Lonchura striata: one gene and its partner. The protein of the gene in region 1 interacts with the protein of each later gene in a biochemical or structural test. Links are inferred from orthologs where the notes say so. Each region holds a gene or a part of one and is shown on either strand. Other genes may lie near its edges.

Region 1 (7,209 bases):
TTGCCAAGTCAAAAATTATACTAAAAAAGATGCATGAAGTTGACAGCAGATCCTGACTACAACCTTCACAAACCTACCTACTATGGGCCAACAAGTCTTGGATATAGTGCAGTAACTTGGCAGAAAAAGGAGAAACTAAATGGATGAAGTTTGGTGGGGATTTTTTTTTAGAGTTATTCTATTAAAAAAAAAAAAAAAAAAAAAAAAAAAAAAAAAAAACAGAAACTAAAAGTAGCACACTTTCTGGAAGAAGGATCTACAAGAGAAATAACTCAGTATAGTTGAGCCACATTGAGAACATCATTTGGCTATTTCAGTTGGGAGCACATCACAACTTCTATAAAATGCACACTTCAAATTGAGCCATAAAGCAATAACCAACAGAGAATTCCAGGTAAGTCTAACCCCCAGCACAACTGAACATTTCATCCAGCCTGCTCCCAGATCTTCATGGAAACAGGACAAGAAGGAGCCAGCTTAAGGCCTTCCCAGTAACTGAAGCCATCCTCCAGATCACAGCCTTTCCAGCGAGCCTCCCCACTCTTTTTTACCCCCATCATGCAGTAATCACACCATAAAAGAAGGTGCTTCCAGGAAAACAACAGCCAGGAGCAGCCTGTCAGGGACAAGAACTCCCTTGACATTTGCACAGAAAGTAACAGGTTAAAGGAGAAAGACCCAAGTTGAGAGCATAAATTGCTTGGCAAGTACCAGCCTTCTGCCAGATGGTTTGGGAACATATGTATGCAATCTAATAAACTATCACACAGGGACCCAGGAAATGCAAAGTTAATGCAACATGCCCAAGAAGCACCTGCTGTGCATGCACAGATGAACTCAACAAGAACTAGGGTCCTGTGGTTGCAATGTGCAGCTTCTTACAAGTCCAGAAAACAAGTGACACAGTCCACCCAGGCAACAACCCATTCCTCCTTTCTGCTCCTGCAGACATGAGGCTGCCTGCTCTTTCAAGTCCACTACTACTACTAGGTGTAGAATTATAAACAATGAACATTTATATATGGAGGGGAAAAAAATACATCTTGCAATTTGAATATCTAAGTCTAACAGATTGGTATCTTTTCAATGAAGGGGAGAAAACAGAGTACTGCATGGACCTTGAAGAGTTTTAAAATAAAAAACCTTCATACATACACACACCCAGAACAAGAAAAATGGCAGTCAACACTGAAGTTTTCTGGGTGAAAATAAAAAGTGCTGCTGCTGTACATTAAATATTTGACACAAGATTTCAACATTCTGATCTGCCAAAGAGTGAATCCGTTCACATGGTCCCACAAGGATTATGTTAACTCTTCATCATGGAGTTGATTAGCATCAACTGTCTAGTGAAGAGAAATGCAGAGTTCCTATAAGGAAAAGTCTTTTAAGTGACCTATTTTCACAACTACCCCACAGGAAGCTACATGTTAAGGAAAAAAAACATCACAACCACTCTCTTCTGAAAATCTACACATGATAAAATAAACACTCCAGAAGAAAGCATTCAGCAGCAACGCATGTTTATGCTTTTCCTGTCCCTGTGCTTTCACCAGAACACAGGTTGGAAGAAGCTGCAGGCCTGTGAAGGAAGATGTGCACCCTAGCACAGTAGCCATGTAGTAAGTCAAGTAACAAATATAGCTACAATGTTTGCCATTAGTCCCACCGATTCAGACAGTGGTTACTATTAAAAGACAAGGATACAGAACAACTTTTATTCTTGAGGGTAAGCTAACATTGACTGTCATAAAGATAGTGACAATCAATCAAGAAGAAACCACTTCTCACTGTTTCTCTGCAGAAGTTTCCAAATAAAGACAGGATTCTGCAAGTTCTATTTATGTTCAGGGTTTTTTTTTTTCAACCAGACCGGCAGGAAATTCAAAATTACATGCGACTTCTTCTATGAACTTATGGGAACATATCAAGTCAAGCACTATAAGGACTGTAAACTGAGATCTAAAAGTGCTTTCTCTATACTTTTATATGCAACAAAGGAGAATACTCTAGTACTCCCTGAAGCATTAGAGGTTTCCTCTCATTTACTTTAGGTTAAATTTGCACTTCAGTTATACACTTTGTGTTGTTTTTAGAGAATCTTCAACCGGAATTGCGGCTTCCTTAGACTAAAAACATTTCAATTCATTCACTAACCTGTTACATACAGACAGAAAAAAAAACACACCCTCCTTAGAAATTTATCAGGTGAACAAAGATGCATGGAGAAACAATCTCAAGAAATCTAGGACAACATGTCACAGAATTAAGAACTATTCCAGAGTTTTAAGCAGTTTAGACCAGTTAAAAACCTCAAATAAAGAAAGTACGTGTAACAAGTGAACTGTTGATCTGTAACAACACGTGTGTTACTATGCAAAACAAAAACACAACGACAAGCACATGGCTTTTAACTTACGGGTAAAACACCTTTTGCTCTTAACAACACAAGCGACAACATCAGCAAGAACCGACCGGCTTGCGCACGAACTGAAAGAAGCCAACGTTTACCTATCAAAGCCTGGAAAAGGTTACTTTGGAAGATGCTGATGACACGCTCGATGGAGTTCCGCAGCTGCCGATCCTCCGCCTGGCTCAGCTTGGAGCGGTATTCCTCCAGGAGGCGCAGGGCTCGCTGGGTATCTGCAAGCGGAGAGCAGGCACACTGTCCGGGGCGCACCGGGCAGGAGCCCCGGGGATGCAACAAGCCCCGGCGGCCGGGACCGCCCCGGCCGGCGCGGAGCTCCTTTGTTCGCAGCCGGGAGAGCGCGGGCGGGACGGTGCCCCCGGCGCGCTCGCAACGCCCGCAGCCCCGCGGCTCCCGCCAGCCGCCCCCCGCCCGTCCCGCCGCGGCAGCGGCCGCCAGCCGGCGGCTCCGGCGGCCCCGGCGGCCGCGGCCCGGGCGCGGAGCTCACCTTGCTTGCGGACGGGCATCGCGCCCCGCGCTGTCCCGCCCGGGGCTGCCCCGGGGCTCCGCCGCGCGCACTCGGAGCGCGGCCCGGGGCGGCGCGGGGGGCGGCGCCCCCTGCCGGCCGGGCGCGGGGGGTGGCGGCGGCCGCCCCGCCGGACCGGCCCCGCCGCCCGGCGAGCGAGCGGCTCCGCGCGGGGCTCCCGCCGGCGCCGCCGCGGCGCGATGCGGGGCGAGCCGGGCCGGGCCGGGCCGGGCGGGACAGCGCGGGGCAGGCGGCGCGGCGGGCCGGGGCCGGGGCGGACGGGGCCGGGACGCTCCCGCCACCTCCCGCCCGCACCGCTCGGAAATTCCAAACTTTCCAACCAAAATGGCGGCCTGGAGGCTGGGGGAGCGCACCCCCCCCACGTGACCGGGCCCGGCGGGCGCCCAATCAGGGCCCGGCGCGGGGCCGGCACCTTGGCGGCGGGGGGGGAGGAGGCAGGTGAGCGCTCCCCGCCTTAAAGGGGCCGCCCCGCCCCGCCCCGCCCCGCCGCGCCCGCCACCGCCACCGGCACCGGCACCGGCACGGCGGCGGCAGCGCCGTGAGAACCGGCCCCGGCGGAACCCGCCCCGAGCGCCCCTGCACCACATCGCCGCCGCCGTCCCCGGCGGTGGCGCCCGGCGTGGGCTGCGGGAGGGCGGGAGCGCTCCAGGTGTGCGCCGGGTACCTGCGGGATCGCCTGTCCCGGGAGTGCGGGAGTTTCCGGGCCACTCGCACCGAAGCACCGCCATGGTGCCGTGGGAGTGCCGGGCACGGAGCGGCTCCTGCCGCGAGGAAGCGCAGGTGGAGCCGTGCCCGGCCGCGGGGAGCCCGGGGCCGCCTTTCGCAGGGCCTGGGACAGGCAGGAGGGCTGAGGGACCTCGCTGGCCTCACCGGCCTCCGCAGTCAGTACCACACAGAGCACTGCCACCCACCTGGTGCTGGGGCTTTTCCCTCAGTCGTCCTGGAAGAGCAGGATGAGGAGGAAGGACTCGAAGAAAAATAAATAGCTTTGGACATAAGGTCAGCATAAGGACATCACAGGAGAAAACATAAAAAGTTTAAGAAATGGGCTGTATAGGCTGACATCAGGGACTGGTCAGAATAATGATAGTCACTTTCTCAAAACTGGCATGGAAATGGTAATAAGTTATTTTCAAAGGCAAAACATCTTGTTTTCTTTTAAGATGGCAAAGAGGTAACAGCATAGAAATAGGTGCCTTGGACATATGAGCTAAATGGTCTTTGCAGCATATTCTATATACCCACTAAAAGGAAATGTATATTAAAGCTGGTGGATGTAGGAGCATCCCTTGCTCTAAGAGGGAATGTTAACTTATCTCTCAATGAGATGGACAGTCAACCAGAGCCCCTGATCTGATACACTTCAAACCCTGTAGGTATACATGTATGAGAGGCAGAAAGAGACTTGAAAGTTCAAGGCAAATACTGCAGATGGGGGGGTGGGGGGGGGGGAGGTTGTTTGGTTGGGGGTTTTTTTGGTTTTTCATCCAAGCTCACATTTCCATTTACACTTGTTAGATTTAAGCACAACTGAAAATGTTCAAGAACTTACCCAAAGAACCTAAAAAGAGCCTCCTGGGCAACTCTCATAAATTTGAAGTCTAAAAATCAGATCCAGACTTCACTTTGGCAAGCACCTAATCTTAAGGAATATTACACCATGACAGATCTAACCTAGATCTAGAAAAGGCCTCTCTCTTTTCCCTCCCCAATAGTCCTATGTTTTGTTCTTTGATTTGTGTCAGGAGTTTCTCCTGCTCCCATAGCTATGTACTGTGAAAGTGTTCACACATCTCATTGAAGCAAGCAGAAGATACATTTAGTGCTGACACACAATTGCCCATTTTCTTCCTTTCTTGTTGTATTTTCATATCACAGAATTTTGGCACCAGCTGGTACCAGTTCAGATATTTTGAAATGAAAGCAGGCTAAGAAGAGACATTGGCAGAAGCCTCCATCATCTGGCCTCATCAGTTTTCAGTGTTTACAACAGCAATAAATGTGCTGTAAAGGGGCAATAGCCCTCTTGATGTCAGAGGAATGTATATACAGAAGGAGAGGAAGAACAATCTAAATTTAGCTAGCAGAAAGGAGACATCTGCAGCATTTTGATTGGTTTTGCTGACTGACAAAAATGTATTATTACAAAAATAAACTTTTTTTACTATTAAAGGAACCACTATAAAGAAACTATTTTTTTATATACAGTATTTGATGTTTCCAAGTCTTTTTTTATTTTAAATAAGAGATAATCCCATTACATACGGTCACTGTGCTGGGGATAGCGAAATAATCCCATATATAACACCCTGAGACAGCATTTCTCACTTGTTACTAATGCTCTAGGGGAACAAAAAAAAAAAAAAAAAAAGAAAGAAAGAAAACATCAAAGAGGGGGTCAGGATGATGGATCAGCAAGTCAGGAAGCAATTAGGTGAGCTTTATTGTACCTCAGAGAATGATGTTGCTTCCCGGCACTTCTGTTTCTGTTCTAGGAGTGTATTTGCTGATTGAAAGCAGTTGAACCAGAAACACAGTATTAAACTTCAGTATGAAAAGTGGGTTTGAAATTCCAGCACATATAGAAAATATCCCATGAATGGAAAATTACTTTTTGCTAGCAACATTACAACTAGAGACAGTGTTGCAAAATTGTCCTGTGTTACATATCATCTTCTACAGGCTCCAGCTTCCAGGAAATTGTGTAGTTTCCTTGGAGGAGGGGAAAACTGAGTGTGAACCAGAGCATCATTTGTGCCACGACTTTAACAATATCATTTAAATCAAACCACTACAGGCAGCATACAGAAAAGCTTGTACTCTAAACTGTGACTGATGTGGTCAGTATAGAAGTCAGCATTATGCTTAACACGCCCTGGCTGTGCTCCAAAATGACCCTTGGCATAGGAACTCCAGGACAATTACACAAAGCAGCAGCCCATTGCCACTTTAGTCCTCAGATGCATCTGAGGATGTGACCAGTGGCCTTTTCCCACTGCCCTCAGATTTCCTTTAAAATCCCTTTTGCAGCTGCTGCCAGGAGTGTGCCTGGGATGTTCTGCTGGGATGGTCTCTGGTAGGGACAGGCAGCTTGTTGCAGCACACATACTGCTTAGGAGGGATGTGTAATACAGAACCAGGCAGCTTTTGGCAACAGGGACGCCGGCACAGCACAAGCTTTTCCCCTGGAAAACCTTCTATAACAGCCACCTGATCCTAGCCCATGTCATTTGTACATGGGGGGGAAAAGCAGCCCTGTGTCAGAGCCTAATAATCCCAGTTTCATAAACTATAGTGAAACAGAGATGATGTTTTCCCACTTTGAGAAACTATGCCAGAACTTGTTGGCAGCTGCCTGCTCTGGCAAGTGATCATAGTAGTGAGCCCTGCCACAGATTTGTACCTGATCCTACACCAGCTCCTACTCCTCAAAGCAGTCCAGCTGCCACTTTAAAAATGGCTCTTTCTGCTTTAGAAACTTCACCTGGTCAGCTGGCACCACACTACAAGGAGCAAGAATGCTGACAGGCTTCTTATGTTTTGAGGCAATCACAATTTGGCCACAGGCTGGGCAGCAGGACATGGGGGGATTGACTTCATGCCAGCTACCTGGTGAACCCCTAAGTCCCACTGGAGCCAGCTGACAACGTGGACTTCTCAAACTGGCAGTGGCAGTGGATGTGTTGCAGATGATGTCCCACACAGTAACTGGAGAGGTATAATGAACTCAGAACAGGAGACTTCAAAAACCATTCCCTAGATTCACACACAATGTCAATCAACACAAGAACACCAAGAAAAAAATGACAGCAGACATCATCACATGGCAAGAATTTACAGTAATTAGTATGGCCAAAAAAATACAGTAGTTACAAGCTGAGACAAATTCCATTACAACATAAGGTAGAATAGATTAAATAAATACAGGTACATCAGTTCATAATTAAAGATGGACACTGTTGTATAAGGTGGAATATTTCTAGAATACTATAATTATAGTATTAATTTTAGTAAAAAGAAATGCTGACTGTTGAAGAATAAAGAGTAAAGCTCAAGACATTTTTATGTGGGGCTTACTAATGAAAGAAAACACAAGAACAATAAAATTGGTGCTCTCTTGATTGTCAGATTAAGTGTCCAAAGTCACCATACAAAGTAGATGATTTGTCTTATTCATTCAGAACTGGGAGTTGATGCTCATGAAAAGATCTCTGACAGCTGCAGAAAAGGTTTCACTTCCCTGCAAACTCAGTGC
Region 2 (8,050 bases), on another chromosome or scaffold:
ACAGCTGTACTAATTCATGAATGAATTGCACAGGAGATACATTTCATACACATTTTTGCACTACCTCTCCTAAGATGAAGCCTGTTTGCACAGCCTTCTGGCTGCTCTGCCCTATGCACACCCCTCTTGGGTGTCCAATGCTCTTTTGCCCCTTGGATGCCCCTTCCTGCTCTGTTCAAGGCTCTCCATGTGCCCAGAGCAGCTCTCATTAGCTCCTGCTACCACTTAGAACTCCTTTCATGGTACAATAGTATTAAATACACACACAAAATTTTTCTTCAGTGGAAACACAAAACAATATTTTACTGAGTATTCAGTCCTAGTCATTGCTGAAGGAAAGCACAAAAAACTACAGCTAAGTATAAACATCAGGAACTTGTAGCATCCTTCAACTTTGAAAGTTGGGATGAGGAAAAATAACTGCTGCATTCATGTTTGAAGAGACAATGTTAAACCCTGCAGGCTAGATATCTAGTATATACATCTGTATGCACATAAATATGTTTATATATTTAACAGAGACCCCTATCTATAGTATTATGGAATGAAGATCTATCTACATCTACAAAAAAATATTAGAGCTTCTTCTTTAGAAAGAACATCTGTCAGTGCTCCCTTCAGACTTGCCTTCTAATTTAACAAACAATATAAATGAATCCTATTAAATCAATTTTATAGGCAAAGTGGTTTTTTTTTTTTTTTACTTCTAATTAAAGTTATTCTTGATTTATATCAGTAGATGTGAAAAAATAATCAGATCCAAAGTGTTAGACATATGGTAACTTGACTTGTTGCATGAAGGCATATATTCAGTATCACAGAGCTCAGTAAGAAAAGCACAAAATAACAAAGCATCTTAACAGTGGTTTCTCTGAGTGAAAAATGGCAGGAGACCTGGTTCTTTTCTTAAACCAAGACTAGAACAATAAGACTTATTTGACTTACTGACATTAATTTATGCCAAAATGCGTAAGATGGGAATGAAGCTGTAGTTACAAAGCAAAGAAAAAAAGGGAAATTTTAAGTAATGTGTATCATATTATAATTTTTAAATAACCTATTTTTTTTTTAGCAACAAGGATAGCTATAATTACCTCCCAGGGAAATCATGAAAGCTGTTGTTTGGGACATTAAAACCAAGTTAGACAAAATTTTTGCATTCTTAAATAAAATTTCTCTGTGAGCAGGGGAGAAAGAGGACTTGATCTATCAGAATTTTATTCATGTCTTAATTCAAGGAATATGTTTATTTTGAAAACAAATTCATCAATTTATATGTAAAACTGTAATTGTCTCTTATAGCAGCACAATACAGGAGGTAACAGGCAAAGCTTAGAAAACACAAATACTAAGGTTATTTCAAAATACTGTGCTGAACTACTTCTGAATACTTCATATAGTTGGGGTAACAAATGCTCTAATTATATCATTGCATTACTATCAAATTAAATAGCTTCTCTTTTTTTTAATATACTAAAACAAGACAGGTCACCTGAAATATCATCTATTAATAACAGCATTACAAGACCAGATTCCCAGTGGAGAGGAAAAAAATCAATGTGAAAGAAAAGTCTTAACTGCTACTGGATGACTATTAGCTATTTAATGCACTAAAACTTCTCGCATTAAACACCCTGTCTACTCCTGTCCAGTGTTTAAACTCCAAACAGAAAAGAGTCTATTAAAACAAATGCAAACTGAGAGCTGATGGTGATGAGACTCATAAGGAATTTCCAGAACTGCCTAATAATATGAAAAAGATTATATGATGCCACAATAACAGATACAGTTGCCCTGCACATTAAGACTACTTGTTGCCATTAATGTTTTATGTTTTTAAACATTAAACTATCTCAGACCCCAAACAAACATTCAGTTGCAGCTGAAACTTTAGGAGAAAATTTTAGCAGTGATCATAGACATATGTACAGGAGCATAGCACAAGCAAAACAAAAAGGCAGGAGAAAAACCTTCTTTTTCACACTAATCTACAAGAGCTCCTGAATCACTGGTTTCAGTCTTACAAAATTATACCAGCATATGTTACAGGCTCTACCTAACTTCGCTCCTGCTGTTAACAGCATACAGACAATGGGTCCCTGACTCAACTACAGATGCAGCTATCCAAGCAATCATTAAGTAGTGGATTTCAAAGTCTGCTTTGAAGAAACTGATCTGTCAGTAATGTCTGCACATCCACGAGGCACAGGGAAATCTGTTGCTGAAATATTTCCGAGCGCATAGCCAGAACTTTGTTCTGTTTTACCCTATTCAGCACAGAGAAGCCCTACAAATGTAAAAGTTCACATCCCCTCATTGTTCAGGAACGATGTGCACACCATGCATCACACAGATGTAACTTTTTATATTAAAAAATAAAAATGTTGCTACTACCAGTGATAAGCACTTTATTGCTTCGTTTTCATTCAGAAAGGGACTCGGCAGAAATTATAAACCCAGCCAAAGCGGCAGCTGCGCCTAAGCGTGACTCCCGACCCGATTTCCAGCAGCGGGCTGCCGGGAGCTGCACTCCCGCAGTCTGCGGGGCTGGCAGCCGGCAGCCGGAGCGGGCGCGGAGAGGCAGCGGGCTCCAGCGACCCGGCGGGTCCACCAGGGAGCGGAGAGCGGGCACGGCCGCTTTTTTCCCGGCAGGGACGGAGCCCGCGGGGCAGCCGGGGCTGCTGTGCCGGGGCGGGGGCCGGCGCGGGCACTCACCGCGGGGGCCGTCAGGCGGCGGATGCTCTCGCCCAGCGAGTCCAGGTTGACCCGCCGGCGGCGCGGAGCGCGGCGCGCCCCGGCGCTGGCCGCGGCGGCGGCGGCGAAGGGGATGTCAGCGGGGCCGGGGGGGCTGCGGCTGCCGTTCCAGCACAGGCGGGACAGGGGACACTCGCCCTCCTCCTCGGGGCTCGTCTCGGGGCAGTCCGAGCCCAGCGAGCTGAAGGACTCTGACGAGATCTTGCGGCGGGACATGGTGCCGCGGGCCGGGCTGGGGCGGCGGCGAGCTCAGCGCGGGGCGGCGGGCAGCCGCGGCGGGCAGCGCCGAGCTGGGCGGGCGCGGGGGCGGCCGCCTCGCATGGCCGCGAGTGCCCCTGGGCGGGCGGGAGGCAGCACCGGAGCCGCCGCGCCGGGGCCGGCGCAGAGCGCGGCGCTGCCCGCTCCGCGGCTCTCCGCGCCGGGCCGGGAGCGCGGTGCCGCGCCGCGCTCGCCGGGAGCCTTTAAAGCGGCGGCGGCGGCAACCGCGGCGGCTGCTGCCCTCCTCTGCCTCGGCCGCCCGCCCCGCTCTCCCCTCCCCCGGCTCCCTCGCTGCTCCGCGGGGATCACGTGTTGTTCCGAGCCCTTTCCCCCTCCTCCTCCTCCCGCCTCCCCCGCCCCGCTCGCCGCCTGTCGCGCCCGGCCCCGCCGGCCCCGGCCCCGCCGGCCCCGCTGCCCCGCGCCGCGGCGATGCCCCCAGCCCGGCGGGGCGGGCCGAGGGCAGGGCCGGCGCGCAGCCCGCGCTCCCGCCCGCCGAGCTCTGCGCTTTGGCACTCTGGAGCCGCGCTGAGGGAAGCGGGGAGGTGGCCCGGCACCCGCGCACGGCTCCGCGGGGAGCGGCGGTGCCAGCGCCGGGAATGGGGACGATCCCGGGGCCCTCCCGTGGCAGCCGCCCCGGCCCCGCCGCCGCCGCCTCCAGTGCCGCCGCGATGCTGGACAGCTCCCTGGCAGCTCCAGCGGCCGGGGAAGCCGGTACCCGCCCGCTGCCAGCCTCCCCGCCAGCCAACTTTTAAAATGACATTAGGGAACCTGAAGCTTAAGAAATAAATCTTTTTAAAAACTGAGGAGAGAGGATGCAGGTCATCTGCTTTCAGAATCAGAAGCTGTCTTTCTGCAAGCACTGCTCCCGTTAACACTGTGGGTCATGTCCAAAACAGCAAAGAAACTAAATTCCTTTCCACGCTACAGCCCTGGCAAGGGGAGAAAGGACTGGTCTAGAGGACCCAAAGCAGAGGAGCTTCGATCCCAGATGACACACAAGGTGTCTCCTTCCCAACGTTCCCTACCCATGCTGTCAGTTTAAAGACACCTTTCAAAATTCATTCCAATAGTGATAATCCCATAAAGTTCTCCTCAGCAAAAATGTTCCAAAGAAATGTGATCTGAGCTGAAATGGTTCGTCCTACCATCAATGAAGACAGCTTGTCATTACTTTCCCTTTGTTCAAACAAGACTTACTTTAAAAGGCAATGATTTTTAAATAGTTTTTACTCTACCTTTTCACTGTATTATGACATGTTTTACAACCGTATCCTTTTAAATGTCTGAATGCAGCCTAAACAAGGACTCACTGAAAAAACTAGGGACATATCCACAGGTATGAAGGAGCTTTTGAGCATGACCTCAGGCAGCAAAAGCCAGTGTCTGCTCACAGATGGGGCACAGGTCTAGGGCCGAGCATGCTGCTTTTAACTGGGGCATAACAACCTTTGCCAGGACATTGCTTTCAGTGTATCATCCTTGTTTCCCTTGACTCGCATAGTGTCTTTTTTTTTGCTTTTTTTTTTATAGAAATAGATATGAAGTCGAATGATTGAAGCCTGTGGCTTGAAAGGATGTGTAGTAAAGCCAGAGTGTACCATACTACCTTCTGTTGCCATGGGAAGTATTACACTTGGGATGCACAGACTTTCCTTTTGCAGTCCTGGTGATTCCCTTGGCAGACCTAGGACATGAATCAGGCATGCAAGTAATTCACACATGAACCTTCAGATCTGTTGTACTTATCTGCGTTTCCTCCTCAAGTGATTAACAATATTCATCAGTATCTGATGAGTGTAGGGAGGCGAAACAGTCACTGCCTTTTTTGTTCCTCCTTCTGAACAAATCCCCATTTTCACAGGTTCTTTGAGACCTGCTGCACAAGCCCTTGCTGGCCTGCAGGCCAAGCTCCCACTATTGAAGGGACTCAGGAACTAAGGGGTCTGGAAAGTGCCCTTTGGTGCTAAACATCATCCCTAGCACAGGGTACTCTGTGTAACATTGTTCATGTGCTCCAGTTTCCACTAAATTTACTTCCTTCTCGTAGATCATTTCATACAGTCCTCAGTGAAGTAAACTACCACTGGCTTCCTGGTTGATGAAGTGACAGTGACAACTGGGTAAGAGCCACATAGTTTAGCACAGAAAATGCAAATACATATTTATAAGTTCTAAACTGCAAAAATACCAAAGTGTCAACTGGTTCCATGTGCAGCACTTCAGCTGTAGGGCAAGCAACTTGCTTGGAGGCATTTTGCATTTTATTCAGCACTAGGGAAGAGGTTTACAACATGACAAAAATGACACCTTTTCAGTCTTCAGTTTCCTCTTTTTCTTGAAGTTTAAAGTAGCACTTCCCAATGCAACTTAGTGGTAGCATTTGACAGTGCTTCTGAGTGTTTTTATTACATAATATAGTTATCCTGAAATGGAAAGGAAGATTCTCTACCTCAGTGACTATTCCTGAGGTGAGGACATCATAACTAAATGTACTTGTGTACCAAAGCAACTCTTTTCAAGAATGTGAAAGACATTTTCCTCCAACATCAAGATAGTGAAGTTCATAACTCAGGGGAAAATGCCATTAGGTTCTTCAAGTATTATTTTATTCAGATGAAGCAGAGCTTTGAGTAAACCCAGATAGTGTTGGCTAGTCTGATTAGATACAACCTTTAAAGCTTGTGAAAGTAAACCTCATACCTGCCCAATCCAGTTACTAAGGATATCAGTAGTATGCGTACTGCAACTCTGGGATTCATTATATGAAGTACAGAGAACTGAATAGAGAAACCAGCTGGAAAACTACCAAACATCATCATAAGTTGTCTTGAACTAAATAGAAATGGACAGCAGAAGATTCAAGATGATGCAGATTCTGGAGGTGAGTCTGGTGAGCAAACAAGTCATTCAGTCCCCAGTTAATTATTCTCATTTAATTTCTCTTGATCCAGACACAGCCTTGGCAAAAGCTAAATACCACAGGGATTGCTTCATCTGGCTGTCAAATGCCTTTGAGAACCCATAGACATAGACATTTACAGCATATAAGAACAAATATTCTTCTTTTATACATGTCTAATCAGCACCAACTTGTAGTTGGCAAATTATTGAGTAAATAGCAGAATGTCTGTAAAATTAATAAGGTTCACTAAAAGAAAGCCAATGCAATTTTTCATTCATACTACAACAATGTGCAATGTATGTGTCCCACATTACAGACACGTCAGAAAAAATATGGAGTACTTTTAATTCTTTTACAATTTCAAATGCATAATTACTCTTCTCATTAGACCACTGGCTGAACGTGCCCCAGGGTGTGCCCAGGTGTCCAAGGAGGCCGATGGCACCCTGGCCTGATCAGCACTGCTGTGCCAGCAGGAGCAGGGCAGTGACCGTCCCCCTGCACTCAGCACTGCTGAGGCCACACCTCCAACCCTGGGCTCAGTTCTGGGCCCCTCACTGCAAGAAAGACATTGAGGGGCTGGAGCGTGTCCAGAGAGGGGCAGCGGGGTGGGGTCAGCCTCTTCTTCCAGGTAACAAGTGACAGGACAAGGGGACATAGCCTAACATTGTGCCAGGACAGATGCAGGCTGGACATCAGGAAGACCTTTTTTTTTTTTTTTTTTTTTTATTCCACAGAAAGGGTGATTAAGCATTGGATTGGACTGCCCAGAGAGGTTGTGGATTAGCACTGTGGTTTAGTTGACAAGGTTATGATCAGTCAAAGGTTGTACTTGATGACCTTGGAGGTCCCCTGCAACCTAAACGATTCTGTGTCTATGATTCTAAGGAAAAGATTATGAAAATCACAAATGTTTTATCATTTTTTATCTATTTTCATATTTTTGTCTTAGTGCTAATGAGCAAACATTACAAAACTGAGTTCAGTCCTGACAGAAAATACATAGTCTTTAATTTCCATTATTTAGAGTGTGTTAGTTTATTGGTAATTATTCATGATTTTTATTTATTTGCTACTAACTATGCACTTCTCATCAGACATATGTTGGAGTTTTCATATTATTTTTGTTCACAAATGCTGTTTTTCTACAGCCTTGGAAGATTAAAATAACAAAAACAACATCATCAGAGTGCATTGCATTGCCCTGTCTGCCTTTGTTGAGAAAATGTTGGTTGCAAAGCTGCTAAAAGTATTTTAACTAATCCCTCTTAGACATTAGCTGCACATATCACATATATATCTCACATATATAATATATATAGTTCATATAATTTCACCTACTACATTATATGGCTTTTTATAATAATCTTTTTTATAGTACTGCTGAACCTGTAAGTACTTAATTTTCCTTTAATAGAAAAGATTGTTGTCACAGGATCAATGTGTCCCCACAGAGAAAGTAAACACCTGTTTTGCAAAGCATTTCTAAAGCAGCAGGAGACTGTTATCCTGTAACAACATTGTGTTACAATTACTTTATTGCAGTCAGGCAAAATGAATGATGTGCAGCAAATTTATTCTTCTTTCACATTCTGCCAAACCTTCCTGTTCTTTATCCAATGACTTCCATCTGGAGTAGTGCCTGGAAGGATGGCTGGGGCGTTCTGCCATTCGTCATTAATGATCTGTTGAATTACAGCTGGCTTGAAGAACAAATCAATTCTATATTTCAACTATTCAGAAATATAGTTTATGTGCAAAGTGCAGCAAATTCACATTGGTCTAACTTGTTGTTCTAGTCATCAGGTTATGTTTGAGTCCAGCATGTTACCGAAGCAGTAATGAATCTGTTTTTCACTGCGAGATGAGATGATGATGTAATGAAAGCAGAAGAATCTGTCTTAATGCTCATAAAATATATTTAATCTTAGATCTTCATCACACTATTAGGACTTCTTTTTTGTCGATGAGAAAAGCAAACAAAGCACTGGTGACATACCACAAGACTCACACCACCTAGCAGACCACCTAGCAGAATAAGGAATACCTTGTTGCCTAATCCAACTTCAAGACAACTTTATTCAGGATCAATTGGCTGGAAACATGAATGGAAAGGATCAGATCCATTTGTAAATG

What was found. The genes of interacting proteins can lie anywhere in the genome.
Region 2: the proteins of DLG1 (region 1) and GUCY1A2 interact in a test that uses a peptide from one of them, tested with the Homo sapiens proteins (2 studies listed by IntAct, with this or other methods). The link is inferred for Lonchura striata from reciprocal best matches to the Homo sapiens genes DLG1 and GUCY1A2.

The regions. Positions count from the first base shown.
Region 1 is NC_134612.1:15,040,741-15,047,949, forward strand, and holds the start of DLG1 (disks large homolog 1), read right to left. Parts: upstream 3,001-7,209; 5' UTR 2,935-3,000; coding exon 2,916-2,934; intron 2,644-2,915; coding exon 2,512-2,643; intron 1-2,511. UniProt on the Homo sapiens protein: Essential multidomain scaffolding protein required for normal development. Recruits channels, receptors and signaling molecules to discrete plasma membrane domains in polarized cells.
Region 2 is NC_134604.1:44,013,050-44,021,099, forward strand, and holds the start of GUCY1A2 (guanylate cyclase soluble subunit alpha-2), read right to left. Parts: upstream 3,004-8,050; 5' UTR 2,971-3,003; coding exon 2,716-2,970; intron 1-2,715. UniProt on the Homo sapiens protein: Has guanylyl cyclase on binding to the beta-1 subunit. Isoform 2 acts as a negative regulator of guanylyl cyclase activity as it forms non-functional heterodimers with the beta subunits.